4 linked regions of the Macaca fascicularis genome follow. The main gene of each other region encodes a partner of the protein of the gene in region 2 in a complex. Links are inferred from orthologs where the notes say so. Each region holds a gene or a part of one and is shown on either strand. Other genes may lie near its edges. The genes, in order: LIN7B, APBA1, LIN7C and LIN7A.

The links.
Region 1: APBA1 (region 2) and LIN7B share a complex: the UniProt entries of both Homo sapiens proteins name them as parts of the brain-specific heterotrimeric complex. The link is inferred for Macaca fascicularis from reciprocal best matches to the Homo sapiens genes APBA1 and LIN7B.
Region 3: APBA1 (region 2) and LIN7C share a complex: the UniProt entries of both Homo sapiens proteins name them as parts of the brain-specific heterotrimeric complex. The link is inferred for Macaca fascicularis from reciprocal best matches to the Homo sapiens genes APBA1 and LIN7C.
Region 4: APBA1 (region 2) and LIN7A share a complex: the UniProt entries of both Homo sapiens proteins name them as parts of the brain-specific heterotrimeric complex. The link is inferred for Macaca fascicularis from reciprocal best matches to the Homo sapiens genes APBA1 and LIN7A.

Annotation. Positions count from the first base shown.
Region 1 is NC_088393.1:57,092,729-57,100,192, reverse strand, and holds LIN7B (protein lin-7 homolog B), read right to left. Parts: upstream 4,321-7,464; 5' UTR 4,291-4,320; coding exon 4,254-4,290; intron 3,860-4,253; coding exon 3,741-3,859; intron 3,449-3,740; coding exon 3,377-3,448; intron 2,466-3,376; coding exon 2,256-2,465; intron 873-2,255; coding exon 709-872; intron 377-708; coding exon 355-376; 3' UTR 271-354; downstream 1-270. Other genes in the region: C19H19orf73 (putative uncharacterized protein C19orf73 homolog), read left to right, coding at 1-270. UniProt on the Homo sapiens protein: Plays a role in establishing and maintaining the asymmetric distribution of channels and receptors at the plasma membrane of polarized cells.
Region 2 is NC_088389.1:100,366,794-100,374,209, forward strand, and holds the start of APBA1 (amyloid-beta A4 precursor protein-binding family A member 1), read right to left. Parts: upstream 4,222-7,416; 5' UTR 4,082-4,221; intron 3,636-4,081; exon of another isoform or gene 3,211-3,635; intron 1-3,210. UniProt on the Homo sapiens protein: Putative function in synaptic vesicle exocytosis by binding to Munc18-1, an essential component of the synaptic vesicle exocytotic machinery. May modulate processing of the amyloid-beta precursor protein (APP) and hence formation of APP-beta.
Region 3 is NC_088388.1:38,081,702-38,089,038, reverse strand, and holds the start of LIN7C (protein lin-7 homolog C), read right to left. Parts: upstream 3,990-7,337; 5' UTR 3,966-3,989; coding exon 3,929-3,965; intron 1-3,928. UniProt on the Homo sapiens protein: Plays a role in establishing and maintaining the asymmetric distribution of channels and receptors at the plasma membrane of polarized cells.
Region 4 is NC_088385.1:87,580,300-87,587,027, reverse strand, and holds part of LIN7A (protein lin-7 homolog A), read left to right. Parts: intron 1-1,936; coding exon 1,937-2,155; intron 2,156-6,728. UniProt on the Homo sapiens protein: Plays a role in establishing and maintaining the asymmetric distribution of channels and receptors at the plasma membrane of polarized cells.

The sequences.
Region 1 (7,464 bases), on a different chromosome or scaffold from region 2:
CGCCCTCAGACGCTCTTAAGGGTAGGCGGCGTTGTCCTCAGTTCTGCCCCTGCACTCAGACCCAGACTGGGTCCCGGCCTCCGCCCTCGGACTAGTCCCTTGGAAGCCGGCCTATCTCCGCCTTCAGACCTAGGGAGAGGTCTCAACCTCTGTCTTCAGACTCTGAAAAGGGCTTCTCAAGGGCTTGGCCTGACCTCAGCTCCTCGCATTCCCTCCACATCTCAAGACACCAACCCAGGGATGCAGGACAGACACACAGACACTCAGTGAGGGTAAAAGACCTTTAAATAAAGTGCTAGGGACAATAAATACTGTACAGGGAGAGAATGCGTGTGAGCGTCCAGATCTGTGGTTTCAGCCTCGAGACTCCAAGGACCTGCAAGGAGGGTGGAGAAGGGACCCGGGATCAGGGGGGCTCCGGGTCATGAGAGAGGCAGGACTGGGGTTGCAGAGTCAAGGGCCCGGGGAAGTGGGCTGAGGGATCCCAGCCACAGTAGGTTCCATATCTTGGGATGGAAGGAAGCTAAGGGGTCCCCAGGGGATTTGGCCAGAATAGCCTGGGGTGAGAGGCTGGGCCAGGGGTCAAGGGTCAGCATCCCAGAGAAGGGGCCAGGGCCGGAAGGTCCAGGAAGAATTGGCCTGGTTTGGGAGCCTGGGGTTAAAGGGAGCCAGTGGAGGCCCCAGAGATGTGGTGACCCAGGGACTCACGAGTAGCTTTGGTGCTGCTGGCGCCGGCGGGCAGAGCGCATCTTCTCGAACCGGGCCTCCATCTCCTCCAGCACTCGCGGCGTGTAACGGACGACCAGCTTCACCGAGCCCTGGGCCGCCTTCAGCAGCTCCACCGCCTTCTCATGCTGCTCACCCTCAACGCTCTGCAGGGCCCAACACAGACAGCTGGGCCTGAGGCCCACTGCCCTCACCCAGCCCCCACTGGGAGATGGGACCCACTGCTGGTGAGCCTGGTGCCAGCCCTGAGATGCCAACACCTCATGTCCTCCTCGTGGGAGAGTCATTAACTCCTGGTTCAGTGTCCTCCTCCAAAACCTCCCAGGTTTCCCATGTCAGGGACAGCCCCATGTTCCCTCAGTCCCTGGTCAAACATCTAGACCCATCTTTGTGGCTTCCCTGCCCACAGCCCACTAATGCCTGCCTGCTTTGACTCTCTCTTCTTTGTCCCCACAGCCCTGGGCCAGCTCAGGCCTTGTCCCCTTTCCTTGGACTCTTAGCCCAGCCTTCTGGCTTCTAGTCTCTCCCCTCAGTTCATCTCCATAGGGTCCCAGAGGGGTCCTTCTGTACCTGCAAGCTGAGCTTATCCCTGGCTCACCCCTCCCATAGCTCCCCAGCACCCATGGGACAAAGTCCCAGCTTCTCAGGCTGGCACTCAGGTCCTGTATGGCTGACCCCAGCCACCTCTCCAGTTATGCCTTCCTCAACTCTAACCACAGTGATTTTTTTTTTTTTTTTTTTTTTTTTTTTTGAGAGGGAGTCTTACTCTTGTCACCCTTGCTGGAATGCAGTGGCACTATCTCGGCTCACTGCAACCTCTGCCTCCCAGGTTCAAGTGATTCCCCTGCCTCAGCCTCCCAAGTAGCAGGAATTACAGATGACTGCCACCACGCCCGGCTGATTTTTTGTACTTTCAGTAGAGACGGGGTTTCACGATGTTGGCCAGGCTGGTCTTGAACTGCTGACCTCAAGTGATCCACCTGCCTCGGCCTCCCAAATTGCTGGGATTACAGGTGTGAGGCACCACAGCCTGCCTAACCACAGTGATTTTAATTACCTGCATGCCCCAGACCTCCCTCAGAACTAAGCCCTTTCTTTTCAGCTCAGAGGTATGCCAAGTCCTTATCCTTATCTACAGTACCCTCAGCAGGAACACCCTTTACCTTGTTTGCCTGGAGAACTCCTACTCATCCTTCAACACCCAACCCAAATGTTCCTTACTCTGCAAAACTTTCCTGTATGTATGTTGGCCTGGTGCCACATCTGGGCTGTCACAGTACTTTGCAGTTCCTCATTATTATGTCTCTGGCTTAGGACTATTTCAGCCGAGGCCTACTGCCCTCCCCAGAGAGGGAAGGTTGAGTGTAGGAGCTGAGACCAACATCTCTCAGGGTCTGTAACACTGGCCAGCACAGGGCTAGCCATAGAGGCAGAGCTCAGTCAGTGTGTGTTGAGTGAATGTCAAAAGCAGGGGCTATGCTACCTTAGACAGACTGTGTCCCGCAGTCCTGCCTCAGCCCTCCACTCACCACACCGTTCACCGACAACAGTTGGTCCCCACGCTTGAGGCCTCCATGGCGGTCAGCCACACCCCCCGGGATGACCCGGGAGATGTAGATGGGCGAGTTCTGCTCTTTGCCACCCATGATGTTGAAGCCCAGGCCCTCATCCGTCTTGGGTAGCTCCACTACCCTGGGATGTGCGTGGCCCTCGCTGGCTGTGAAGGCAGCCACTGTGGCCTGGGAGAGAGAAAGCGACTGAAGATGAGGGCCCCTGCCAGGTGGGCAAGAAGGCTGGGGTGGGGGATCTGAACCGAGGACAGCGATTTAGCCTGGGTTACTATCCCCAAACATGGGACACGTGCCATGGCACAATGCAAGATCCCCCTGTAATGACTGTGCGTCCCTTTCTGTTCACTTGCAAGAGAAAGTGTCCATTTGGTGTGTGTCTTGAATACCCCATACTTGCCAATCTTTTTTTTTTTTTTTTGAGATGAAGTCTCGCTCTGTTGCCCAGGCTGGAGTGCAGTGGCATGATCTTGGCTCACTGCAACCTCGGCCTCCTGAGTTCAAGCGATTCTCCTGTCTCAGCCTCCCGAGTAGCTGGGATTACAGGCACCCGCCACCACGATCGGCTTTTTTTTTTTTTTTTTGTATTTCTATAGAGATGGGGTTTCACCATGTTGGCCAGGCTGGTCTCGAACTCCTGACCTCAAGTGAGCCACCTGACTCGGCCTCCCAAAGTGTTGGGATTATAGGCGTGAGTCACCGTGCCTGGCCGCAATCTTACTTTTAAACAGATGAAAGCCAGGCTTGGAGGGAGATCCGAGCCTCTGGGCAGCAGCAAGAGGTAGCATCTCACTATTGTGCAGTGAGAGATCAGAGCGCCATGACTTCCCTGGTTTCACTGTACAGATGTTGAAGGTTATCTTCTAGCCAGTCATGCCACACTGGTTTCCATTTGCAGTTGCTAAAGACGCCTTCGTATGACATTTAAGTTAAAAATGTGCGATTATTTAATAATGGTAAGAGTGGCACATAGATTTAGCAAAAATCATGAGGGAGGAAACAGAAATGACTGGCATGAAGGAGATACTGAGCTCGACCAGGCAGTTAAATAGACACCAGGAGCAATGAGGTGCGGGGCCCACCTTGGCTGTGGCATGGGCTCGGATTTCGGCGCTGCCAGTGATGTCCAGCGTGTCATAAAGCTGCTCATACACCTGGGTGAGGAGGCAGCGGCATCAGGGAGCTGCCAGTTCCTCCAGCCCTAGACGCAGGAGTCCGGGCCCCTAGACCCTCTCCCGCTGCCACGCAAGGATCCGCCCCGCCCCCGCAACCGGAGCCGGAGGAAACTACAACTCCCGAAGAACCACTGAGCTGAAGCGTGGGCACCCCAAGGCTGGCCGCCTCGGGAGCTGCCGGGAGGCGTAGTCCCCGGGCTCGGGACTAGCAGGAGGAGGAGGAAGAGGACGGCGGCCACCAGCTCGCGCCCTTGCGCCGCGCGCCGCTCACCTCTCGAATAGCGGAGCAGAAGCGGCTCTGCAGGACTCGCTGGAGGGCCTGCAGCTTCTGCGGGGGCAGCTCCCCGCTGCGCTGGAGCCGCTCGAGGAGCTCAACCGCCCGGGACACGTCTGCGGGGCGGGGGCGGGGCGCAGAGACCCCGAGACGCAGAGAAGCAAGGAGAGCGGCGGAGTGAGGCCGAGCGCACAGTCCAGGGAGGACCGCCGAAGCCCAGTCGGACACCCCGCAGAGTCCAGGGTGGCGCAGGAGAGACCGCCACCAGCCGGGCGCCCTGCAGCCCCAGGACCCCTCCACAGGCCGGGGTGTAAGGCGGGCGCCCCCCGCCCCGGCCTGGGTTCAGGGAGCCTCCCACACCCCGCGACCGCCGGGCCCCGGCGCCCGCCCCGCCCACCCCGCCGGGTCCGCTGGCCCACCCGCACTGGCCTGGCCTGGGAAGGGCGGGGACCGGGGGCTGGGTATGCAGGCCGCGGCCCGGGTGGGCAGGGCCCCCTGGCGCGCGCTTACCCCGCTCCAGCCCCAGCGGCTCCACCAGCGCAGCCATGTCGGCGCCACAGCTGCCAGCGGCCCGCCTGCCCCGGCGCGGGCGAGGAGGGCGGGGCTGCGCGAGGCCACGCCCCGGGCCACGGGCGCCCCCTGCGGAGGCGCAGCCTGGAGAGCGCCCAGCTCCCCAGCGCCGGACTGTCCCGACCCCCCTGCCGCGCGCCACCCGCGGCCCTGCCCTCCGTCCCGGCCAGTCGGTCCTGTTGGCGACTCCTCCCGTTGTAGGTTCGGTCTGTGTTTCTCTTTCAGGATCAGTGTCTGCCTGCCCTCCACACCTGTCTATCCCCTGTCCATTCTTTTCCCACATTCATTCAACAAACTCCTGTGAAACATCTGGGCCCAAGGCATGGACACTGTGGTGAGCAGGGCAGCCAAGCCCACGGCCCGAACGGAGCTTCCAGTCTATGGGAGAGGTAGACCACCAGCCACGGCTGTAATGAGAGCTGAGAGTGGGGAGGTAAGGATCTAGAAGACGAAGGAGATCCTAGAGCAGGGACATTGACATACAGTCCTGGGAGGTAAGATGAACAAGAGGTGGAGCTTGGGTCACCCCCACCACGCAGAAAGAGTCCACAGGACTGGAAGCAGAGTTAGGATTGGTTGATGATGAGGTGAAAAGGCCGGCAGGATACAGTTTATGCCTGGGCTCCTGCGTTGGCATATGCGCCTTGAGGATTTGGGGCTTCATGCAAACTCCTAAGAGTAAAATATGACACTCAAATTTGTATTATTATTATTATTATTATTATTGAGACGGAGCCTCGCTCTGTCGCCTAGGTTGGGTCTCAGATTTGTATTTTAAGATCACTGGGGCCGGACGCGGTGGCTCACGCCTGTAATCCTAGCACTTTGGGAGGCTGAGGGGGGCGGATAGCCTGAGCTCAGAAGTTCGAGACCAGCTTGGGCAACATGGTGAAACCCCGTCTCTACGAAAATACAAAAAAAAAAAATAGCCGGCATGGTGGTGTGCGCCGGTACTCCCAGCCACACGAGAGTCTGAGGCAGGAGAATTGCTTGAGCCCAGGAGGCGGAGGTTGCAGTGAGCCGAGATGGCAACTGCACTCCAGCCTGACAGAACGAGACTCCATCGCTTAAAAAAAAAAAAAAAAAAAAAAAGGCCGGGCGCGGTGGCTCAAGCCTGTAATCCCAGCACTTTGGGAGGCCGAGACGGGCGGATCACAAGGTCAGGAGATCGAGACCATCCTGGCTAACACGGTGAAACCCCGTCTCTACTAAAAATACAAAAAACTAGCCGGGCGAGGTGGCGGGCGCCTGTAGTCCCAACTACTCGGGAGGCTGAGGCAGGAGAATGGCGTAAACCCGGGAGGCGGAGCTTGCAGTGAGCTGAGATCCGGCCACTGCACTCCAGCCTGGGCGACAGAGCAAGACTCTGTCTCAAAAAAAAAAAAAAAAAAAAAACTCTGGGCAGAGCGGGCGCTGTGTCTCAGGCCTGTAATCCCAGCACATAATCCCAACACTTTGGGAGGTTGAGGTGGGAGGATCACTTGAGCCCAGGAGTTTAAGACCAGCGTGGACAACATGATGAAACCCCATCTCTACAAAAAAATACAAAAATTAGCTGGGCCTGGTGACGTGTGCCTGTAGTCCTAGCTGCTCTGGAGACTGAGGTGAGAGGATCGCTTGGGCCCAGGAGGTCGAGGCAGGAGTGAGCTATGATCACACCACTGCACTATACCTGGGTGAAAGAGTGAGTCCCTGTCTCAAAAAAAAAAAAAAAAAAAATCACTGGGCTGAGCGCAGTGGCTCACACCTGTAATCCTAGCACTTTGGGAGGCTGCATGCAGCGAGAGGACTGTTTGAGCCCAGGAATTCAAGACCAGCATGGGCAATATAGTGAGACTGCATATCTACTGGAAAAAAAAAAATCACTGTAGCCACTATGGAGACTGGTTTGGACAAGAACAAGACGAGAAGCAACGGGGCAGCTTAGGAGGGTACCACAGCCATCCCAGTGGCAGCTGGCACCAGGGCCAAGGCATAGAAGATGGGTGGGCAGATGTGGAAAATGTCTGGACAAGCCTTGGTGCTTGGCTATATATGGGGATTGGGAGGTGCAGGAGAAGACAGTATTGAGGTGCTTTGGTGCCATTTTTTTTTTTTTTTTTTTTTTTTTTTGAGACGGAGTCTCGCTCTGTCGCCCAGGCTGGAGTGCAGTGGCGCGATCTCGGCTCACTGCAAGCTCCGCCTCCCGGGTTCACGCCATTCTCCTGCCTCAGCCTCCCGAGTAGCTGGGACTACAGGCGCCCACAACCGCGCCCGGCTAATTTTTTGTATTTTTTTTTTTTAGTAGAGACGGGGTTTCACCGTGGTCTCGATCTCCTGACCTTGTGATCCGCCCGCCTCGGCCTCCCAAAGTGCTGGGATTACAGGCGTGAGCCACTGCGCCCGGCCAGTGCCATTTTTAAGATGGTCTACACTGAAGGAGAGATACTGGATATTTTGTCTGTTTTCAGAGGCAGAGTCTTCCCTCTGTTGCCCAGACTCAAGTGCAGTGGCGCAAGCTCAGCTCATTGCAACCTCTGCCTCCCGGGTTCAAGTGATTCTCCTGCCTCAGCCTCCTGAGTAGCTGGGACTACAGACGCGCACCTCCACGCCTGCCAAATGTTTGTATTTTTCGTAGAGACGGGGTTTCACCATGATGGCCAGGCTGGTCTCGAACTCCTGACCTCAAGTGATCCACCCACCTCAGCCTCCCAAAGTGCTGGGATTACAGGCGTGAGCCACCTTGCCTGACCGATACTGGATATTTTGAATTTGAGGAGCCTATGCAGAATCCATGGGGAGAAACTATTGATCTAGGTCTAGGGCTCAAAAGAGCAACCTGGTCTGCAGGCATGTTTGAGTATTGGGGCATAGGTGGTAAATAAAACCACAGGAGTGGATAAGAATGTCAGGGGCAAGTGAATATTAAGAGGGCCTAGGACTGGTCCCCAAACCTCTCTAACACTTAAAAGTCAGGAGGACAGCAGAGAATGGCCTGAAATGTAGGCAGAAAGCCAAGTGGGAGAAACCATGAGAAGAGAGGTTTTTAAATTTTATCTTTTTGTTTGTTTTAGATGGAGGGGTCTTTGTTGCTCAGGCTGGTCTTGAACTCCTTGGCTCAAACAATCCTCTTGCCTCAGCCTCCCAAAGTGTTGAGTTTACAGGCATGAAC
Region 2 (7,416 bases):
TTCCCTGTGTAGGCATACATTTTCCACTGCCAGGCCTGTGCTACGCTGTTCCTCCCCCAAGCATGCCCTTCCTTCTCTGCCAACCCAAATGCCACCTTAATCACAGCTCAAATGCTATATCCCATGTAACCTTCCCTGATTCTTCCATCAGAAGTCATTTTGTACCCTGTGAATTCCCACAGCCCTGCAGGAATACTGCTTTTTCAGCACTTAATCATTTTTTCACTATTTTTACAGTTAGTAACACATATTCCTCTTTTCTCCTTCTAGACCAAGATTCACCTCTGGGCAGGATCTAAGACTTAGCATTCTTTGAATCTCCAACCCTTCTCAACATTCCCTGTCCCCTATACCCCTAGGTACAGTGGGTCTGAGACACAGGAGGCAAGATGTTTGCAAATTAACTATTGTAACCCAGAGAGTTAACTTCAGATTTCATTGCTTGAAATTCTCTCAGTTTTAGCAACAATTACTTCTTCTTTGTAGGCTAAAAGTCCTATCTCCCCAAGGTACTACATACAGTTAATTCCTTTTGGACCCAGAGGTCATTTTCAAATATCTCTTACTCCTAAGTCTTCTGAAACAAACAAACAATAACAACAACCAAAATGAAAACAAAAAACAAAACAAATAACAAAAAAAAACCCTTAAGAGACTCAATAATGGTAGAGAAAAGCACTGATGCTATTTTAAGTGAAGGAAAGGCATCCATGCACAAAAAAATGGCTTGCTGCAGGCCACAGCAAAAGGTACAACCATTTACCAGAGCTGTCTCATGAACCTTATACCAGTCCAATCTTTAGAAAAGCCAGATATTGCATTTTTAAAACTATCAACCTGGGCAACGTAGCGAGACTCTATCTCTGAAAAAAATAAACAAATATCTGGGTGTGGTGCCATGTGCCTATTGTCCCAGTTATTCAGGAGGCTGAGGCAGGAGGATTGCTTGAGCCAGGAGTTTGAGGCTGCAGTGAGCTATGATCACACTACTGCACTCCAGCCTGGGCGACAGAGGAAGACCCTGTCTCAAAAAGATAAATAAAAATAAAAATGATCACGTTTATGTTAGAAAAGAAATCACTGATTCCTGAGTCATCGATTATGCTGCTGTGTAATTTCTCTTTCTCTAAACAGTGTATTTACCTGGTAATTCCTCATATTATTAAACTTTCTTGTAAGACATTTACATCCCTGGTCTTACTTGCAAATATAAAAGATGATGACTTTTTTTTTTTTAAACCAAAACCTCTTAGAATGGCTTTTAAATTCCATAAGTACTTTTCTCAGAAAGGGATTTGGCATAACAAATAAGAGAGTAAAAAACTAAGATTCAAAATTCATTTTTACAAATCTATCCTTAAATCTTGGATGAGAGCCAACAACCAACCTCATATTAAAATCTTAGAAGGCTTGACTTGAAGAACATGGGGAAATTTACTTTACATTGACACTTCAAGAACACCTAGTCTATACATCATTAAATAAGATATATGGGAAGAAAAAAAGCATATGTGGATAGCCCTAGTTTTATTATTTTCAATGAAACAACGATATCGTGCAACCTTTGCCCATAAAAGAATGCAAAACAAAAATTTTAAAAAAGAAAAAGAAACCTCTGGTGCCAACATGTTGTATATTTACTTGTGTAGCCATGACTGCTACCGGCTTTTTGAAGAGAACCGTGCAGCCAGTTTGGATTCCGACAGCAATGCAGTAGAATTTAAGGTGTTATGACTAAAATATGTCCTAAACAGGTTAAGCTAGACATACAACATTTTAATACAGTAGTGTCGAGATACTCATTCCTGTGAATACCGCAGGAGAAATACAGGCGAGGAGGAATCACACTGCCCTGGATACACATGAATATGCCATCTCCCTGCCTATCTCTACCCAACCCTACACACACCTATCTTTACCACGCAGAGACAATTAAACAGCCATAGACTCGATGCATTTCTGTGTCCTTGTTCCCACTGGGTGAGGTATTGCCAGCCTGACATTTTTCCCAATTCCCTACTAGTGGGCTATATCAGGTAGGAAAGCAGGGACTTTACTGACCTGGGACCCCATCACTGTGGGTCTTGGGAGATTTCAGTTTCCAAATGATACACGGCACCACCTAGCTATTGTGACAGCTGGGAGAGTGGATGTCACCAGCAGTAGAAATAAAGTATCCTGTTTCCTGAGGAAAACGCCCTGGCTGTGTGACGCTGACCAGGTGGGCACCAAACACTTCTCCGTGTGATATTTTTCTTCTTTTTTAAAGACTGCCCCCCGCCCCGCCGCATCTCTCTATACGTACACACCTCCAGAGTTCATTCTAAAAGAACCAATACAAAGACCATCCATCCTCTAGCCATAAGGTTTTCAGTGCTTAAATGTGGAAGGAGAAGGTCTAGCTAGCATTGAAAGTTGTGGGGACAGGAAGAGGAATCTGATCATTCAACACTATTCTCCTTCAGGTCAGACAAGAGAAAAACAATAGAAACTGCAGAGTCAGGGAGTACAAGACCCTTATGGAACAGGTGCTAAGCAGAGAAGTAGTATCAGAGGATGGAAGCCCCCTTCAAAACCGGGTACACCAGCAAGCCCAGAATGCGTAACGGTTATCCTATTTCCCTGCCATGTGCCTCAAAGCAACATGCTCACTTCCACATCCCCATGTAATGAGGCCAGAGGAAGGGGAAGCGAGAATCCCTACACTGGGCCATCCACACGCAGGAGCAGAACAGAGACTGTGCTCAGAGTTGCAGGGTCAAAATAACAAACACTGTCCCACAGTCTCAGCCGGTGACATCAAGTCAGGGCAGCGGCAGATCTCTGGGTTTGGGGCGCTGTTTGGGGAACGTGGATGCAACCAAACGCGTACACACACATACACAGAATTTTACAAACCCGCCCCTACCCCACTGCCTCCCTCCACACTTCACACACCAAGTGCATCCTGCCCACCTCACCGTTTCCATCATCACATTCTTTCTCCAGGAGAGTCAGCCGAGAGATGAGGGATCCTAGCGGGGATTCCTGGAAATGTCACCCCCCAACACCTCCGTCCGCCACCCCCATCCCCTCTGCTATACCTTTTACACACACACTCTCACACACTCACTCCTGCCATGACTGTCATCAGGCCCGCCTGCTGCGCCCGAAGCCTGGCATCTGAGCGGGCACCGGACCCCAGCCGTCTCGCCCGCAACGCCGCCTTACCCCGCCTCGCTGGCTGATGGTTCCAGGCACTGCCCCCTGGATGTCGCCTGCTGCCCCCGCTCCTCCGCACTATTGTTCCAGGCAGCCCCTCTCGCGTCCGGGGGCGCCCTTTGGCTAGGACCCGGGCTCCGTCGGGGGCCGCATCAGCGCCGGGCACCCCTTCTCACCCACCCCTCCCTGGCTGTGGTACCTTGCCTGACAGCTGGGTCCGCGGGCCCGCGGGAGCAGGCGGCGCTAGTGACAGCGCTGGTGCCAAGCCTGGGAATAAAGCTCCGCTCCAGCCGCTGCTACCTCCAGCGCCACCATCTTCTCCCGCCGCAGCCGCCGCCGCCGCCGCCGCCGGGACCGCAGCCGCCCTCGCCCAGCTCCGGCTCTGCAGCCGCCGCTCGGAACCCTCCGGTCTCGCGGCCCCACCCCCTTTCCCCACCCTCCCTCCCGCCCTCCAGCTCTCTAGCTCTCCCCTCGTGACGCGCGCCGGGGCCGGGCGGGCCTGCGAGGGAGGGCGCGGGGGAGCGCGCGCGCGCACGCCGCCTGCTAGTAGCGCCCCTGCCTCCCACGCCCACTCGCGTGCGCGCGCGGCCCGCGAGCCCGAGGCGGCGGCGCCGCCGGCGTCCTCCGTGGGCAGCTGGCCGCAGCTCCCCTGCCTCGGCGCCGGTGGGCGTGCGGGACACCGGCGCCTCTCGCCTCCCCTCGCGTCCGGGTTTCGAAGGGCCCGCCCTGCCTGTGTTCCACAGCCCTATCCTCTGGTTCCCGGCCAGACGCACGGAGGGGAAAATGCGGCTGCATCCCCGAGGGGACTGACGGGGACCTCCACCCTCCTCGGTGGCAAACCAAGGGGTCCCCAGTTTCCTAGCCAGGAGCTGTGGCCAACCTCTCTGCGAAGCAACGGGCCACGCTGCAGGACCACGAAGCCAGGCAGCTGGGTCGACTCCTGCAGGGTGTTCTCTCGTGAGTGACTCCCGAGCTTTCCCGCTTCCCAGGCCCCTTAGATACCGCCTGCGCTTCAAATCCGGAGATTGACGGCGTCTCCGGAATGCGCCGCAGTGCTGCGAGTTCCCCGCCAGGGGGAGAGCCGCGCGGGTTTGGGCCTGAGCGAAGCGGGCCGGGCTGCAGTTCTCCAGGGAAACTGCCCAGTCCGGCCAGGGACAGCGGAGAGCCTGCGGATTGTGAAGCCGGGGAAGGCTCGGCTTGGTTTTCCTACCCGCTCCTCAGTTCTGGTTGATCGGAACTTGAGAGTGTCTTTGAGCCTAGCATAGGCTATCCGCCCTAGATATGGCTCCTAGCTCGAGAGGCCACCCTTTGCAGCAGGGACCAGGTGGCAGGTGCTGTGTATTAATGAAAAGCTGTGGGCTAGACAGGCCCCGAGAGGCCTGGGCTCTGGCGCTAGCCCCACCTGTAATTAGCAATGCAATAACTAAATCATTCCCCGTCTTAGAAACACAGATTTTTCATAATAATGTTATAACGCACAAAGCCTAGTAGTTTGCAAAGCCCTCTCCAGACATATATTCTCCTCCAGTAAAATGAGGATAAGCGCTGGTTATCCAGATCCCTTGGGAAATGCATCTTTTACCACACCATGTTTCCATAGTATTTTAAGCACAATGTCTCCAGAGAAGTCTGGGGGTGTAGCCTAAAGCATTCTGAAAGTCTTGTTTTAGCTTTAATATTCGTATGAATTCTGCATTGTACTTCGTAATTTTTTTTCTTTAATAAAACAGCTACCTTCTCAAAAAGATCTTTTAGTAAAATTTAAGATTATATACTAGGAAGATGTATGCTTGTCCTGTGACATTACTCTTTTTTTTTTTCCAGTGAATACTTATTTGGCATATGTACGGGCCAGATATAGTCCTTTTCCACCAGAGCTCACAGTAGGCTGAAGGAAATAGGTATTCAACTATTAGACTGGCCAGGCACAGGGACTCACGCCTGTAATCCCAGCACTTTGGGAGGCCGAGTACGGCAGATCACTTGAGGCCAAAAGTTTGAGATCAGCCTGGTCAACATGGCGAAACCCTGTCTCTACTAAAAATACAAAAATTAGCCGGGCGTGGTGGTGCACGCCTGTAATCCCAGCTGCTGGGGAAGCTGAGGCATGAGAATCGCTTAAACCGGGAGGTGGAGGTTGCAGTGAGCCGAGATCGCGCTACTGCACTCCAGCCTTGGCGTCTCAAAAAACAAACAAACAAATAAAACAATCAGACAAAGTGCAACTGTGATAAATTCTCAACTGCAAAGGCGCTAAGGTGCACGGGAAAATCTAATGTAGACTCCAGGACTAGGTAAGGCTTTCTAAGGAAACGACATTTCAGATCCCCCAGGAGAGGCAGCAGTGAGACACTTCCAGGTAAAGGGAAGGAAATGTCAAAAGGCCCAAGCAGGTGGGGCGGAAGTGAGATGAAGCTGGAGAGGCAGGCAGCAATCAGAACCTCAGGAGACCTTGTGGACCGTTTTTAAATAATAATTTTGTCTTATGAGCCTGGAAAGTCAATGAAGGGTTGCCAAGATTTGGGAGCAGGCAAGCAGGATTACATTTCAGTTCCTGAAAGATCGCTGAGGTGGCTTGTGAGGAATTGATTCGTGGAGGGTCAGGATCCAGGGCCGAGGGAGTCTGAGCTTATCCTACTTAGTGAGTGTTTAGAGTTTTCTGTTTTTGCGCTAACTGCTCTTTTGATTGTTTTTAGTTCTTGCCTCTGCTCTCCTGTGTACTCATCTAGGAGGCTTTCAGAGTGCTTCTCTGTAATGGTTTTTGTTTTGTTACTTTTAATCCACTGCGGTTTTAGGAAGGAAATTAACTTTGTTAGAATTTCAGGTTAAATAAGAGAATATAGGTTCTGAGTGAGAGGCTCTTTTCTGTGCATACACTTACTGCTGTTTGGTTTGCTATCTCAGAGATCTTTCTGCTTATCTTCTACTTTTTGTGTTGTGTTTCCAGTTAGACTAGGTTCTTAGATAAATGAATGAGGGTTACATTATTGCTTTAATAATATCCTCGAATCTTACCTCACAGGATTTTTGTGTAAAGAAAGTATGTGAAATTTCTCTGCAAAGTATTACGTGCCATATAAAGAAAGGTAATCATTGTTAGTTATAATGGTAGCCCAGAGACCTCCAAAACTAATTATGTACCAAATGTTCATATGTGGAAATTTCCCTCCCTCCCCCACCCCTATGAAAAACACATATTCCTATTTCTTCCAGATAGCATGAATCATTGTCTTAAGTGCTATTGTTACTCTTGCCTTGGCTGTCAGGAAACTCAAAGCCAAATTTTCAGATCGTCGTAGGAAATGAGTGGATCCACATGGCATGTAGATCCATGTCTCAATCCCTTCTTTGGTCTTGTTCTATTCTATTTCTAGATTTCCTGTGCCTGCTTTATTGTTTTTCTTTTTAGTAGATCTTTCATAAGGCACTCCAATCCACCTTCTCCTGTTAACAAGGGTCAAAACTGCTATTCAAGTGTTTCAGGAAGCAGTATATAAGATACTGGCAGCCAGGCATGTTGGCTCATGCCTGTAATCCCAGCACTTTGGGAGGCCAAGGTGGGACGATTATTGGAGGTTAGGAGTTCAAGACCAGCTTGGGCAACATAGTAAGACCCCCATCTCTCAAAAAAAAAAAAAAAATTAGTGGGCATGGTGGCGAATTCCTGTAGTCCTAGCTACTTGGGAGGCTGAGATGGGAGGATTGCTTTAATCCAGGAGGTTGAGGCTGCAATAAGCTATAATTGTGCCATAGCACTTCTGCCTGGGTAATAGAGCAAGACCATGTCACTAAAAGTAAAATAAAACACTGGCAACCTGCTGACCATTGAAGCAGGTAACAATAGTATAGACACTGTGCCAAGTGACTTGGGTTTAAAGTAAAGCCTTCACCACCACTGCATGTGCACCTAAAGTCTCTGTGCATGCCAATTTAAAACTTCATATTATTGGTAAACTTAAATATGTCTCCCAATGGCTCATAGTTTAATCTCTGAGGTCCCAAACTCTATCAGCCTACACTATACCTACAAATACAGACAGTTCCTGTCTTATGATGTTCGACTTAAAAGTTTTTGACCTTACTTTTGGGCTTATCAGGGTATTAATTTTTTTTTTTTTTTTTTTTTTTTTTTTTGTCAGTGTCTCACTCTGTTGCCCAGGCTGGAGTACAGTGGTGCAGTCTTGGCTCACTGCAACCTTCACCTCCCCGGTTCAA
Region 3 (7,337 bases), on a different chromosome or scaffold from region 2:
CTGGTACCAATTAATCATAAGAAATACTGGCTGGGCATAGTGGCTTATGCTTGTAATCCCAGCACTTTGGGAAGCCGAGGTGGGTGGATCACCTGAGGTCAGGAGTTCAAGACCAGCCTGGCCAACATGGTGAAACCCCATCTCTAATAAAAACAAAAAAACCAAAAAAAACAAAAATTAGCCAAGCATGGTGGCAGGTGCCTGTAATCCCAACTACTTGGGAGACCGAGGCAGGAGAAAGCCCTTGATCCCGGGAGGCAGAGGTTGCAGTGAGCTGAGATTGTGCCACTGCACTCCAGTCTGGGTGAAAAGAGTGAAACTCCATTTCCAAAAAAAAAAATAAATACCAACCAAACCAAAAAAAGCCTAAGAGGTTGTATACATTTTTAGAAATGTATGAAGCATGTTAGGGGATTCCCATTGAGAAGTGCGAGGATAAATGTTATGAATTGAGACATTTTTAGAAGATTCAGGAGGTCAGCTATAATACTGTTATCTCTACTTTTTTTTTTTTCCCAAAAACTGTTTTTGTACAGTTTCTGTACCCCAGGTACTATAGTGCCCAGTATTCCATTACTGCTTTGCTTCCTTTTGACTTAAGTAGAAGATGTTTCTGATTTCATGTTATACTCAAGGACTAGAAATTTTTCTTTATATAGTATGGCCTTCTTCGTGTTTGCAGATAGAAAACTATGAATAAATGCAGTAAAGAAAGATATTTATTTATTTATTTATTTATTTGAGAGGGAGTCTCACTCTGTCACCCAGGCTGGAGTGCAGTCGCGCAATCTCCACTCACTGCAACCTCTGCCTCCCAGGTTCAAGAGAGTCTCTTGCCTCAGCCTACTGAGTAGCTGGGATTACAGGGGTCCACCACCACGCTTGGCTAATTTTTGTATTTTTAGTAGAGACGGGGTTTCACCCTGTTGGTCAGGCTGGTCTCGACCTCCAGACCTCGTGATCCACCCACCTTGGCCTCCCGAAGTGCTGGGATTACAGGCGTGAGCCATCAAGCCCGGCTGAAAGATAATTTATTTATTTATTTATTTGAGACGGAGTCTCCCTCTATTGCTGAGGCTGGAGTGCAGTGGTATGATCTTGGCTCACTGCTACCTCCGCCTCCAGGGTTCAAGTGATTCTTGTGCCTCAGTCTCCCGAGTAGCTGGGACTACAGGTACCCGCCACCACGCCCACTTAATTTTTGTATTTTCAGTAGAGACAGGGTTTCACCATGTTGGCCAGGCTAGTCTCGAACTCCTGACCTCAATTGATCTGCTCGCCTCGGCCTCCCAAACTGCTGGGATTATAGGCATGAGCCACTGCGCCTGGCCAGAAAACAAATTTTTAAATTTGTGGTAAAGAAAGCTTAAACTTAAAAAGTTAATCAAATGCAATGGAAGCAAATAGACCTTCACCATTCTGATTTCCCATCACCAGAATGACTGATAAATGGGGACTGTTGGTTCATCAATTATTTTGATTTATAAAGTTATAATATGTAAGTCATATAAAAATTTCCAATGAAGAAAAAAAAAACGGAAAAAAATAAAATGCTTTTGACTAAATCTAAAATGTAGCTAACATGTGCTCAAATTTGTGTTTCATTAGATCATAGTTTGATGATTTAGAAGGCACTCTAAATCATATGTGATCAGGTGCTGTATTGTAATTGTACTGTAGGATTTTCTGCTGTAAGATTGTTGGGAGTGTTTGTTAATAGAGTATGTTAGAATTGTAAACAAGAATCAGAGGTGATGTAATCTGACTTTCTTACCCTGCTAAATGGCAACGACTAGTACAGCTGTCTCAGTAACTGTGGGGAATTCGTTAGGACCTTCTTCAGATACCACAGATATCAAGATCTGCAGATGTTCAAGTCTCCGATATAAAATGATGTAGTATTTGCATATAACCTTATGCATATCCCCCCTCCATACTTTAAATAATCTCTAGATTACTTACAATATCTGATGCTATGTAAATAGTTGTTATATCACATTGTTTAGGGAATAAGGACAAGAAAAAAATGTACATGTTCTATACAGACACGATTTTTTTCTCTGAGTATTTTCAATCTGCAGTTGGCTGAAACGTGGAACCCATGCATATAGAGGGCTAACTGTAATTCATCCTAAGGGGCTAAGCCTTCTACTGAAGAATGGAAAAGAAGTCTGTTAACAGCAAAAAACAAAGCCATGACTATCAAAACTAAATGCCACAGAAGTTCCACATTTTGTGTTGCATTTAAAAATACAAAGACTGGTCGGGCGCAGTGCCTCACGCCTATAATCCTAGCACTTTGGGAGGCCGAGGCGGGCGAACTGCCTGAGCTCAGGAGTTCGAGACCAGCCTGGGCAACACGGTGAAACCCCGTCTCTACTAAAATACAAAAAATAGCCGGGCGTGGTGGTGTGCGCCTGTAGTCCCAGCTACTCGGGAGACTGAGGCAGGATAATTGCTTGATCACGGAGGCGGAGGTTGCAGTAAGCCGAGATCGCACCACTGCACTCCAGTCTGGGCGACAAAGCAAGACTACGTCTCCAAACAGCAACAACAAAAACACAGAAGACCACCAATATGTTAGAATCTTAACAACTAGCTTTCAAAGAAGAAACCTACTCCTGTTAACACCAAACAGATTTGTTCCCATCCATAAAACAGTGCTACTGTGCTCAAGAGGAAGATGTCACAGACTTAGGCCTAACTCGGCAAGTCTTCCCAGAGTAGCTAGTCCTCTAAAATGATGCTTTAATTGGCTTAAGGGTAAGAATCTCATTTACAGTGAGACTTCCAAATGGTGAACGCAGTAAAGAGCAAATCAGCAACATTAAGTGCACATTTCTTTGTGGGAAGGCATTAGGAAAGAAGTTTTTCTAAGTACAGTAATTCTAAAAATGTGTTTTCTTAGGGAACAATAGTAGTATTTAGACTGTAACTGCAAATGTTAATATGTGCAATATAATTTCAGTCTCCATCCTATAATTTTTTTTTTTCTTTAACCACAAGTACTCAAAATGTTTATTTGTACTTCTCAGCTCCTATCAATGATTTCTAATGCTGGTGCATGAAAAGCATGCTTGAAATTGTTTGAAATAAAGGATTAGGGACAGAGTGGAATGCTGGAAATCTGTAAAAGGACTGGAAACGCTGGAATGCTGGAAATCTGGTAGGCGCATAGCCAGTTATTTTCACAGGCTTCTCTAAAAAAAAATCACTCAGAAGAGGAGGTTTTATTTTCCTTGACAGTCTGCTCTAGGAAGCAATCAGCCAACCAGTTTGCAATTGTAGGGTTTGCAAGAAATGAAAAACACTGCACCTGCAAGCGTTTTAGCATCTACCACTATTCTGCTTACTTACGTAACCTCCTTCCCAAGACCAAGTGAGTAGGATTGTTTTAAAGCAACCTCTCCATTTCTAGGAGGGGCACAAAAGCTAGCAAATACCCCAACCCAAATACAAGCGATGTTGTGGAAAAAGTAATGAAGGAGTATGTGTGTAAACAAGGGGGAAGGGAGGTTCTGTTGAATTGTACCGTGTGTGTTCTCATGTTGTACAGGCATTGAGTGTAGTCTGTGCGAACCGGGTGTGTGACGTTTGCTTTTCGGGTATATGGGTCTCTGAATGCTGCTTCTGCTGTGCCCACCAAGGGAGCGCGTGTGCGGCGTGTGTCTGCGAAGCGGGCAGGTTGTGTTTAGTTGTGCTGTGCTTCGGGACAGTCCGTGTGAACAGAGGAGAGCTTAGAGTAACAGTTGAAATACCGTAAGCGCCCTCACTAAAGCCAGGCACAGAACAACGGTGGCCTCAGGCGCCGGCACAAGGGATAGCCTGGCTCCGGATCTCAGGGCCTGGGTCACTCCTCCTCCCCTCCAGCGACACAGCACTCTCCCAACCCTTCCACCAACCTCGGCCGAGCCTCGGCTGCACTCACCCCTCTCCAGTCGCACGGGTTCCCCTAACGCCGCCATCTTCTCCCTAGCCCACAGACCCACAGGAAATGACGACAGAAGGGCTGAGGTGGAGGGGCGGGGCCTAGAGGAAGCCGGAAAAGTGAGTACCGGCTAGTATCGCGAGATCAGGAGGGTGGCCGAGGGTGTCGCCGGGGCCATCAGGGTAAGGGTACCTGGACTTGCGGCTTTTGAGGTTGGCCTGGCTCCGCTCCTTCCGCGGTGGCGAGGTTCCCCGGCCTCCTAGGGTTGGAAAGAGCTGCTTTCATGACTCTCGTTCCCTGCCTCGGGCTTCCCTTATCCGAATCGCTTCGAACCCTTGGCTCCACGTAGAGGAGTCAAGCCTGGATTCTAGTCCCACCTTGCCCATTAGCAGCTCTGTGATCTGGGACTGTTCTCTTACCCTCTCTCAGTCTCAGTTTCCGCCTCTGTACAACGAGAGGTCCTATCTCTTAGGTCCTTTCAATTTTTAAACTCTGGGATGTGGTGGCAATTAAATATGTAATGACATGTCAGTTCTCAGTTTGTGACAGCATTGCTTTAAATTTAAAAATCCACGGCTTGAATCTTCCCTCCAAATCTGTTTAAGGGTGGAAAGTACAAACAGCATGATAACATATCTGGGTGAGGGAGAGAACAAGGTGCTTTGGTGCACCACAAAGTAACAATTTTATAAGCAGCTGATTCTTATGAAATCTTAAGTAAATTAAATATTGTGAAGCAAATAGTATTCTTAATGCATTACAGATTCTTTGAGCCACTCCTGAAATTTTCGCGAACCAAGAAGAATTTTAGTATTTGGATTTGACTAACATTTATCCAAGCCCTTAGTCTGTACTGATACTGTGGTAGGTGTGTTTACATCCAGTATTTCAACACTTCATGATGCGACTGTTTTAATAACCTGGTTGCCGCTGGTCCACCCTTTCCATTCACCTTTAGTATTTTCTTCTCCAAATCCATCACGGATATCTGCCATCACTATGCTTCTTTTTTCTCCCCTTGAATTCTGATTTCATCATCACAAGATCTGTTCAGAAACTTTCAATAGTTCTCTCCTGTTTCTTATTTCTAAAGCCTTGCATACTCTGACCCTAACTCATCCAGCTAAGTTCATTTCTTATTACCGCTAAGTGCAACCACCACTTCAGTCCGGGTGGGATAGTTTCAACCATATTTATTCCTGGTTTCAAGTCTTTTTGTTTGTTTAGAGACAGAGTTTCTTTCTGTTGTCCAGACTGGAGTGCAGTGGTGCGATCACAGCTCAAGAGAGCCTCCTGTCTCAGCCTTGCCAGTAGTGAGGACTTCAGGCAAGCACCACCATGCCTGGCAAATTTTTAAATTTTTAGTAGAGATGGGGGGTCTTGCTATGTTGCCCAGGCTCAAACTCCTGAGCTCAAGCAGTCTTCCTGCTTTGGCCTCCCAAAGTGCTGGGATTACAGGTGTGGGCCACTGTGCCGGGCCCCAAATCTTCATTTATGTTGTTCTTGTGTGGAATGCCCTTCTTCATCCCCTCCTGTTCTCCAAACTTTGTAGACACTCAGTTGAACCCATTTCATGGGTCCCTGCTGAAGACATGCCACTTCTACCAAGCCTTTCTCCATATTGTTCCACTTTTTTGTCCTCTGATGGCCTAAATACCCTGCAGTAACACTCAGGTGCTTATCTCTTACTCATTGTTGTCTTTTTTTCCTGCTGCAAATGTGTTCAAGAAATGTTTATTAAGCACCTAATATGTACCAGGTGCCTTGATAGGAATACCAGGTAGAGCAAGACAAATGCAAACATTGCTCTTATTTCTTCAAATATTTTTTCTTTGCATTCTCTTGCTCCTCTCCACTGGTGACTATTGGAGTCGTGTGCATGTACATAGTATACATGTATATTGAGCTAACTGGCATTGTCTCACAGCTCAATGATGCTCTTCTTTTTTTCAAGGTTTTCTTTATGTTTCCTTTTGGATAATTGCTAGGTTTTCATGTTCATTAATCTTTTTTCAATATCTAATATTGAAATCCTGTCCAGTTCATTCTTCATATAAAACATTGTAGTTGTTGCTTCTACCAGTTTGATTTGGGTGTGGGTGTGTGTTTTACATCTTTTATATTTTAACATGCTCAATCTTTTCTGTAGCTTCTTAAACACATAGAATACAATTATAATGACAGTTTTAATGTCCTTGTCTACTAATTCTATGATCTACACTATTTCTGGCACAGTTTGTATTGATTGATTTTTCTCTTCATTACCGTTCATAATTTCCTTCTTCTTGCATGCCTGGACACTTTTTTTTTTTTTTTAAACAAAATGGTAGACTTTGTAAAATTCACTTACTTGAAAAACAATTTTGTTCTTTTGGGGTCTGATTTTTTTGTTGTTGTTGTTAGGTGGAACCAATTCAGTCATTTATGTAGGGCTAATTGTATACCACTACTAAGACAGTACCCTTCAAAGTTCCTTACCCCATACCCAATGTGAATTATGTGGTTTTTCTACTTTGGTAGGAACAGGACTGTTCTTATGAACTGGGATTGTGGATTTTTTTGGCTCTTTTCCTTTCCCTGTCTGGTAATTTGTTTCTTCTTCTTTCTTCCTTCTCCTTCTCCTTCTTCTTCTTTCTTCTTCTTCAGATGGAATCTCGCTCTGTCACCCAGGCTGGAATGCAGTGACGCAGTCTCAACTCACTGCAGCCTCTGCCTCCTGGGTTCGAGTGATTCTTGTGCCTCAGCCATCCGAGTAGCTAGGATTACAGGCACCTACTACCACACCCTGCTAATTTTTGTATCTTTAGTAGAGACGGAATTTCACCATGTTTGGCCAGCTGGCCTCAAACTTCTGTCCTCAAGTGATTCGCCCACCTTGGTTTCCCAAAGTGCTGGGATTACAGGCGTGAGCCACTGCACCCGGGTGGATGATTAACACATGTAATCATCATAGAATTTCAGAATCCCAGGAATAGGTAGAAGATCCTAGAAGTTTCCAGAGAGGATAAAAGTTATATTCTAAGGACTGGAAATCAGAACAAGATTGTACTTCTCCTCAGCAGTACTGGAAGCTGAGGCACAGAGAGCAATTAAATTTTTAGAAAAAAATATTTGCAAACTAGATTTCTATACCCAACTGTATTAGGTTTCTAGGGCTGCCATAACAAGATAAAGCAAACTGGGTGACTTAAAACAATAGATATTCACTGTCTCACACTTCTGGAGGCTAGAAGTCAGAAGTCAAGATGTCATGTGCTCTCTGAAAGTGTAGAGGATTCCTTCCTTGTCTCTTCCTCACTTTCTGGTAGTTTGCTGGCAGGCTTTTGTGTTCCTTGGCCTGCAACTGCATTGCTTCAGTCTCTGTTGTCATTATCGTATGTAAATCCGTATAAATAGGTGTATCTGTCGT
Region 4 (6,728 bases), on a different chromosome or scaffold from region 2:
GCAGGCGGATCACAAGGTCAGGAGATCGAGACCATCCTGACTGACACGGTGAAACCCCGTCTCTACTAAAAATGGAAAAAATTAGATGCACATGGTGGCAGGCACCTGTAGTTCCAGCTATTTGGGAAGTTGAGGCAGGAGAATGGCGTGAAACCAGGAGGTGGAGCTTGCAGTGAGCCAAGATCGTGCCACTGCACTCCAGCCTAGGTGACAGAGCAAGGCTCCATCTCAAAAAAAAAAAAAAAAAAAGAAGTATTTTATGTTGGTCTATACTTCTTTGATTACTAGGGAGTCTGAACATCTTTTCTGAGGTCTATCGACCATTTTTATTTTTTATTTTTTGTCCATGCATATCAACTGCTCATTCTGCTTAGATCTTTATTGATTTGTTAGAAGAATGAAGGGCAGGCTGGGCACGGTGGCTCATGCCTGTCTCCCAGCAGCTTGAGAGGCTGAGGGAGGTGGATCGCTTGAGGTCAGGAGTTCAAGACCAGCCTGGCCAACATGGTGAAACTCCATCTCTACTAAAAATGTAAAATTAGCCAGGCGTGGTGTTGCACACCTTTAATCCCGGCTACTCGGGAGGCTGAGGCAGGAGAATCGCTTGAACCCAGGAGGCGGAGGTGGCTGTGAGCCCAGATCAGGCCATTGCACTCCAGCCTGGCCAACAAGAGTGAAACTCTGTCTCAAAAAAATAAAAAACGGGCAAATAAACCAGAAAAAAATCCCTTTTGCACTAAGTATATGACAGTCATATACTGAAAGTGTTTTTCTGATTTGCCCTTTTTTTTTTTTTTTTACAGTGTTTGAGACAGAAACTTACACTGTGTACATCTGATTTTGTGGTTATGTTTCCCTGGGTATTTTAAATTAAGAATTCCCTTTCTATTGAAAAATGATTAGTGTTCACCTTTCTTTTATTTTAATTATTTTATGTTTTTATTTTACATTTAAATTTTAATTAATCTGTTATATTTAGCATAGTGTATGAAATTGGGTCTCCTTTTTTTTTTTTTTTTTTTTTTTGAGATGGCTGTAAACCTTACAATCTTACATAGGCTATCAATTTTTTTTTTTTTTTTTTTGAGATGGAGTCTTGCTCTGTCGCCTGGGCTGGAGCGCAATGGCACTATCTCGGCTCACCGCAAGCTCCGCCTCCTGGGTTCATGCCATTTTCCTGCCTCAGCCTCCTGAGTAGCTGGGACTACAGGCGCCCACCACCAAGCCTGGCTAATTTTTTGTATTTTTAGTAGAGACGGGGTTTCACCGTGTTAGCCAGGATGGTCTCGATCTCTTGACCTTGTGATCCACCCACCTCGGCCTCCCAAAATGCTGGGATTACAGGTGTGAGTCACCACGCCCGGCTGGGTCTCCATTATTTTGTATTATTTAATTTAGTTAATAGCCCTTTTCTCCTTTGGTCTAAAGTCCACATTTATAATAAATAATACTTTCCATGTGATGACTCTCCTTTTGGACTCTGTGCTATGTTCTACTATCTCTTTTATACACACAATAAGATACCACTTTAATCATTGTAGATTCTTAATAAATTTTAATACCTGATAGAGAAATTTCCTCTTTGTTACTATGTTTTAATTTTTTTCAAAATTTTGTTGACTAGTGCATTTACTCTTCCAGATGCAATTTGGAAATTTCATTCCTAATGTTAGCATTATAACTTAGGTCTTCATTGCTTTTCACCCGCATAACCTGAATCCCCATGCAGTCCATTCTGTGACCCCGTGCAGCCTAACCTGCTTATAGTTTAATCAGAGTGTAATACATAATAACGATGATGGTAAGATAACTCATTTGCCATGCTTTCTTAAAAATTTAAATTTGGGGTTCTTAATATGATACTAATTTCAGATTTGTCTCTCAGGGAAAAGAACATTGAACCTCCTCCCTTTAAGAAGTGTCATTGTCTTTTCAGAGTGTGGAAGGAGAACACCATGAGAAAGCTGTGGAACTACTCAAGGCTGCTAAAGACAGCGTCAAGCTGGTAGTGCGATACACCCCAAAAGTTCTGGAAGAAATGGAGGCTCGCTTTGAAAAGCTACGAACAGCCAGGCGTCGGCAGCAGCAGCAATTGCTAATTCAGCAGCAGCAACAGCAGCAGCAGCAACAAACACAACAAAATCACATGTCATAGGTGAGAAGTGACTTATTTGATACAAGGAGTATATATATATATATATATATAAAATGTTCTAAAATATATTTTCTTTAGCTGAAACAAAACCATTAGATTTAAATAATCCAAACAAAATCAATCAAACAAAAGACAGTGATCTAAAAATATATAAACAAGATAGTTTATGTGCCATTCAGCTATATGCTCCACAAATGCAAGATAATTTGGAAAATGATGTACTTTGAAAGGGACAAGTATGGGCTGTAGGATGCTTTTAGACAAATTAAGAAAATGCAGCCTCGTGCAAACCCGGATCCTAAGGAGAAGAGTGTGAGCTGGATTCCAGGCCTCACTCACCCTGTTGGCCAGTTACCTTTACACAGTGTATTAACTGCACAACCTTATAGCACTGACCATGGAAAGATCTCCTTTAGAATACTGAGATACAATTTATTGGAAAAGTGCCCCACTGAAAAGAATGAAGCTGAGACCTGCCACTGTCCATGCTCTAAGAGATTCTGAAGTTCTCATGCTCCTTTAAAGTGTGTCTAACATACAAATGGCCAACAGCTATATGAAAAAATGCTCAGCATCTCTAATCATCAGGGAAAAGCAAATTAAAACCACAAAGAGATATCACCTCATACCTTTTAAATTGGCTATCATCAAAATGATGAAAGATAGCAAGTGCTAGCGAGGATGTGGAGAAGAGAGAACCCTTGCACACTGTTGGTGGGAGTATAAATTGCTACAGCCAATTTGACAGACAATACAGATTTTCCTCAAAAAGTTCAAATAGAATTCCATATGATCCAGCAATTCTGTTTCTGGGGAGATATTCAAAGGAATTGAAATCAATATGTCAAAGAGATGTTTGCACTCCCATGTTCAATACAGCATTATTACAACAGCCAAGATATGAAAACTGAAGTGCTATCAATGAATACGTTTCTTTAAAAGTGATAAGTATGTGATAGATATCTATATCTACCTACACACACACACACACACACACATGAATACCATTTAATATTTAGCCTTTAATTAGCAGGAAATGTTGTCATTTTTGTCAGCGTGGATAGGCCTAGAGAACATCATAGTAAGTGAAATAAGCCAGGCATGGACAGACAAATACCACATGATCTCACCTATGTGTGGAATCTGAAAAACTTTAATTCATAGAAGTAGAGAGTTGAATGTGGTTTCCAGAGGCTGGGAGGTTGGGAGAGGAGGGGAGAGAGAGAAAAGGGAAAAGGTCTTAGCCAAAGGGTACAAGTTTCAGTTAGGTAGAAGGGGAATAAGTTAAGATGATCTATTATACAATTTGGTACCTATGGTTAATAATATTGTATTGCATATTTCAAAATAGCTAAGAGAATGGACTGTAAATATTCTCACCACAAAGAAACAATAAGTATTTGTGGTGACAACTTTGGTAGCCTGATTTGATCATTCCACACTGTATACACGTATTGAAACATCACATTATAATCCATAAATACATAAAATTATTACTTGTCAATTAAAAATAAAACTTTAAGAGTTTTGAAAAAGTTGTAAAGTAGAAATAAAATGTGTCTAAGATTCTCCTGCCTTTTTCTAAATTCCACTTTGTAACAAAGAATACTAAATCAGGTTTTGCTACATATTATCAAGAAAATTGAAGAAAAAATGTTAAGAGACCCCATCTTTGAAGTCCCTACTATGCCCTATGCCCTTATCACATTTTGTCCTTAATCCTCAGAAAAAAATCCCTTCAAGGCAAGTATCAATAAAAAGTTTTTTAGATGAAAATATGAAGCTAAAATAACTTCAGTGGATCTCCCATGACTACATTTACAAGAAACATAGAATTCTTTTCCTTTTTACTCTACCAGGTTTTCATCTGCCAACATCAGATATTCTGGAGTTATATAAATTTTCCTTGCTATCCTTTAGAGAAGACAGTTCATATTGTTAGATACCTTTACACTATGGTGTCTGCGAATGTGTATTTGAAGTGAGCTTCAAATATTCTTAGAAAAATGATTGTGGGTAATAGTGGTTTTAGGTCATTCAACATCAGATTACTATTTGCACAAAGAGAAACACTGGATATAACATGAGGCTTTCAGTTGTTTGTGACACTTGTGAAAAGAAGAAGCTACATAGAAAAGGGGGTAAAAGGTATGGGATTTGTTCTCCAACAATTCTGGGAATTCAACAATCTATCTTTCATAGGCTGCTATTTTTTATTATATATACCATGTTTCAGTATCTTTATCTCAAATTGCATTCTATCCTAAAAATACATTTATTGAACATTAAGTATTTATTTGACACTGTTATAAGTGAGGCACTGTTTAATGAGCTGCAAAAATGGCGTGAATAATGCAAAGTTTTTGCCCTCATCCCTACATTCTGGTTGCAGGAGATAGTTAATAAACAAATAAACAAGTAAATAAAAATATCCTATTGGGACCAGTACTTTGCAGAGTAGAAAAGGGGGTTTAAATAGAGAACTGCTTGGTGGTAACTTGACTGTGTGATCAGGGAAGATCTCTGAAAGGAGGTAACATTTCGATGGGACTGAATCACAAGCAGCAAGGAAAAAAGACTAAAAAGAGAAAGAAATAGCCAATGCAGTAGCTCTGTCACAGGCATATTTGAGGAACAGAAAGAAAGCCTGAGTAGTTAGAGAATAGTGAGTCAGAAGAACAGTGGTGGTGGCTATGGGGTCAATGGGATAGCTGGGGACCAGGTCACAGAGACCTTTGTGAGCCACTGAGGGAAGTTAGATTTTATTGCACTGGAAGCCACTAAAGGTTTTTAAGCACAGGAGTGACATGGTCTGATTTATTTAAAAGATTACTCTGGCTGCTGTGTGAATAGGTTATTGAAGACTGAGAGTGGAAGCAGAGACCAATTAGGAGGCTAATGTATAGTAGTCCAGGCAGGAAATATGGTGACTTGGTCTAGGATGATGTAGTTGAGACAGAGGTCTATAGACAGACAAGGACAAGTCATTTTGTCCACATCGTTCTCTGTTATCCATTCCAAATATAAAGCCACTTTACATTTGTACTTTTAGAGCTCTTAAAGATCTCTTTTGTGGTAATGACAATGCATTATTCCTTAGTACAACATTTACACTCTTTTTACTAACTCATTTTTCTCTCATCCTTGATAATATAGATGTATACCAATTCTCCTAATTGATTTACCACATTGGTCCATAGTAAAATTGTGCTAGTATTTTGAAACAAATATGTTCCCATTCAGACTTCTAAGGTCTTACTAAAGGCTTCCAATATTATACTCATTCAATCATCTTTAAAAGTATACAACTTGGCCAGAATTATTTGCTGGGCCATATAACTCAATTCCATTTCTCCGTTCCATCCATCTTCATTAAATTTCCTATGGTTTCACCACCACAGACTAGTTAGTATTTTTAGTAAAAAGCCTTTATTATGCAAACTGTGTTTTTTCTGGCATGAGATATAATAGAGTTCTATTTAGGTGAACATGAAATTTTTGTTTGTGCACTTGCAATACACATAAGCATGGTCCCTTGAGATAAAACTGTAGTGATCATTTCAGGTACAAATAAAATATAACCAAGTCATGTCATTCATGGATTTTCATGGTGACTTCAGTCAAAGAGACCTACATTAGCTCCTAATTACATTTTAATTAATTTGATTTCTAAGGACTAAATGGGATTTGTCACACTTGTTAATTCTTACTACAGTTGCTTCTGAAAAAAGTTTGAAGCTAATTTGAACTATTAGACTTTAAGCATCTCAGATTTTTTAAAAATTTAACCAGTCAAGCAAAAACCAATTAAAATCAAAATACTTGTCTGATATTATCTTATTGTTTATCAAATGAAATATAATTTCTAATCTGAAATTAGGAATAATGTGTTTTTTTATCTGAGATGGTAAAAGTTATAAAGCATCTAGCAATGATAAATAGTGAATACAAACGGAAAACAGATTTAATGCAAGTACTGTGCAGGGAATTTGTGTCTTATGCTTATTTTTAATTGTAAATTCTCTTAAAGTAAAAATCAATTGTCTTTTCCCCTAACTTCTGTATTTGACAATATTGAACGATATAGATTACATTTTCTAAAATGTAAAAAGTATTATTGTTGCGCAATAATATGCTAGAAATGTAAACAGAGAATATGAATAAGGGTTTTGTTAGCGCTATACCCACTTTTTTTGAGAAACAGTTGCATTAGTTCGTTTTCACACTGCTCATAAAGACATACCCGAAACCAGGAACAAAAAGAGGCTTAATTGGACTTACAGTTTCACATGGCTGGGGAGGCCTCAGAATCATGGCTGGAGGGGAAACGCACTTTTTTTTTTTTTTTCCTTTTAACGCGGATTCTCGCTTTGTCACCCGGGTTACAGTGCAGTGGCGCGATCTCGGCTCACTGCAACCTCCGCCTCCTGGGTTCAAGCGATTCTCCCACCTCAGCCTCCCAAGTAGCTGGAATTACAGGTGCCTGCCACCACGGCCGGCTAATTTTTGTATTTTTAGTAGATACGGAGTTTCACCATATTGGTCAGGCTGGTGTCGAACTCCTGACCTCAAG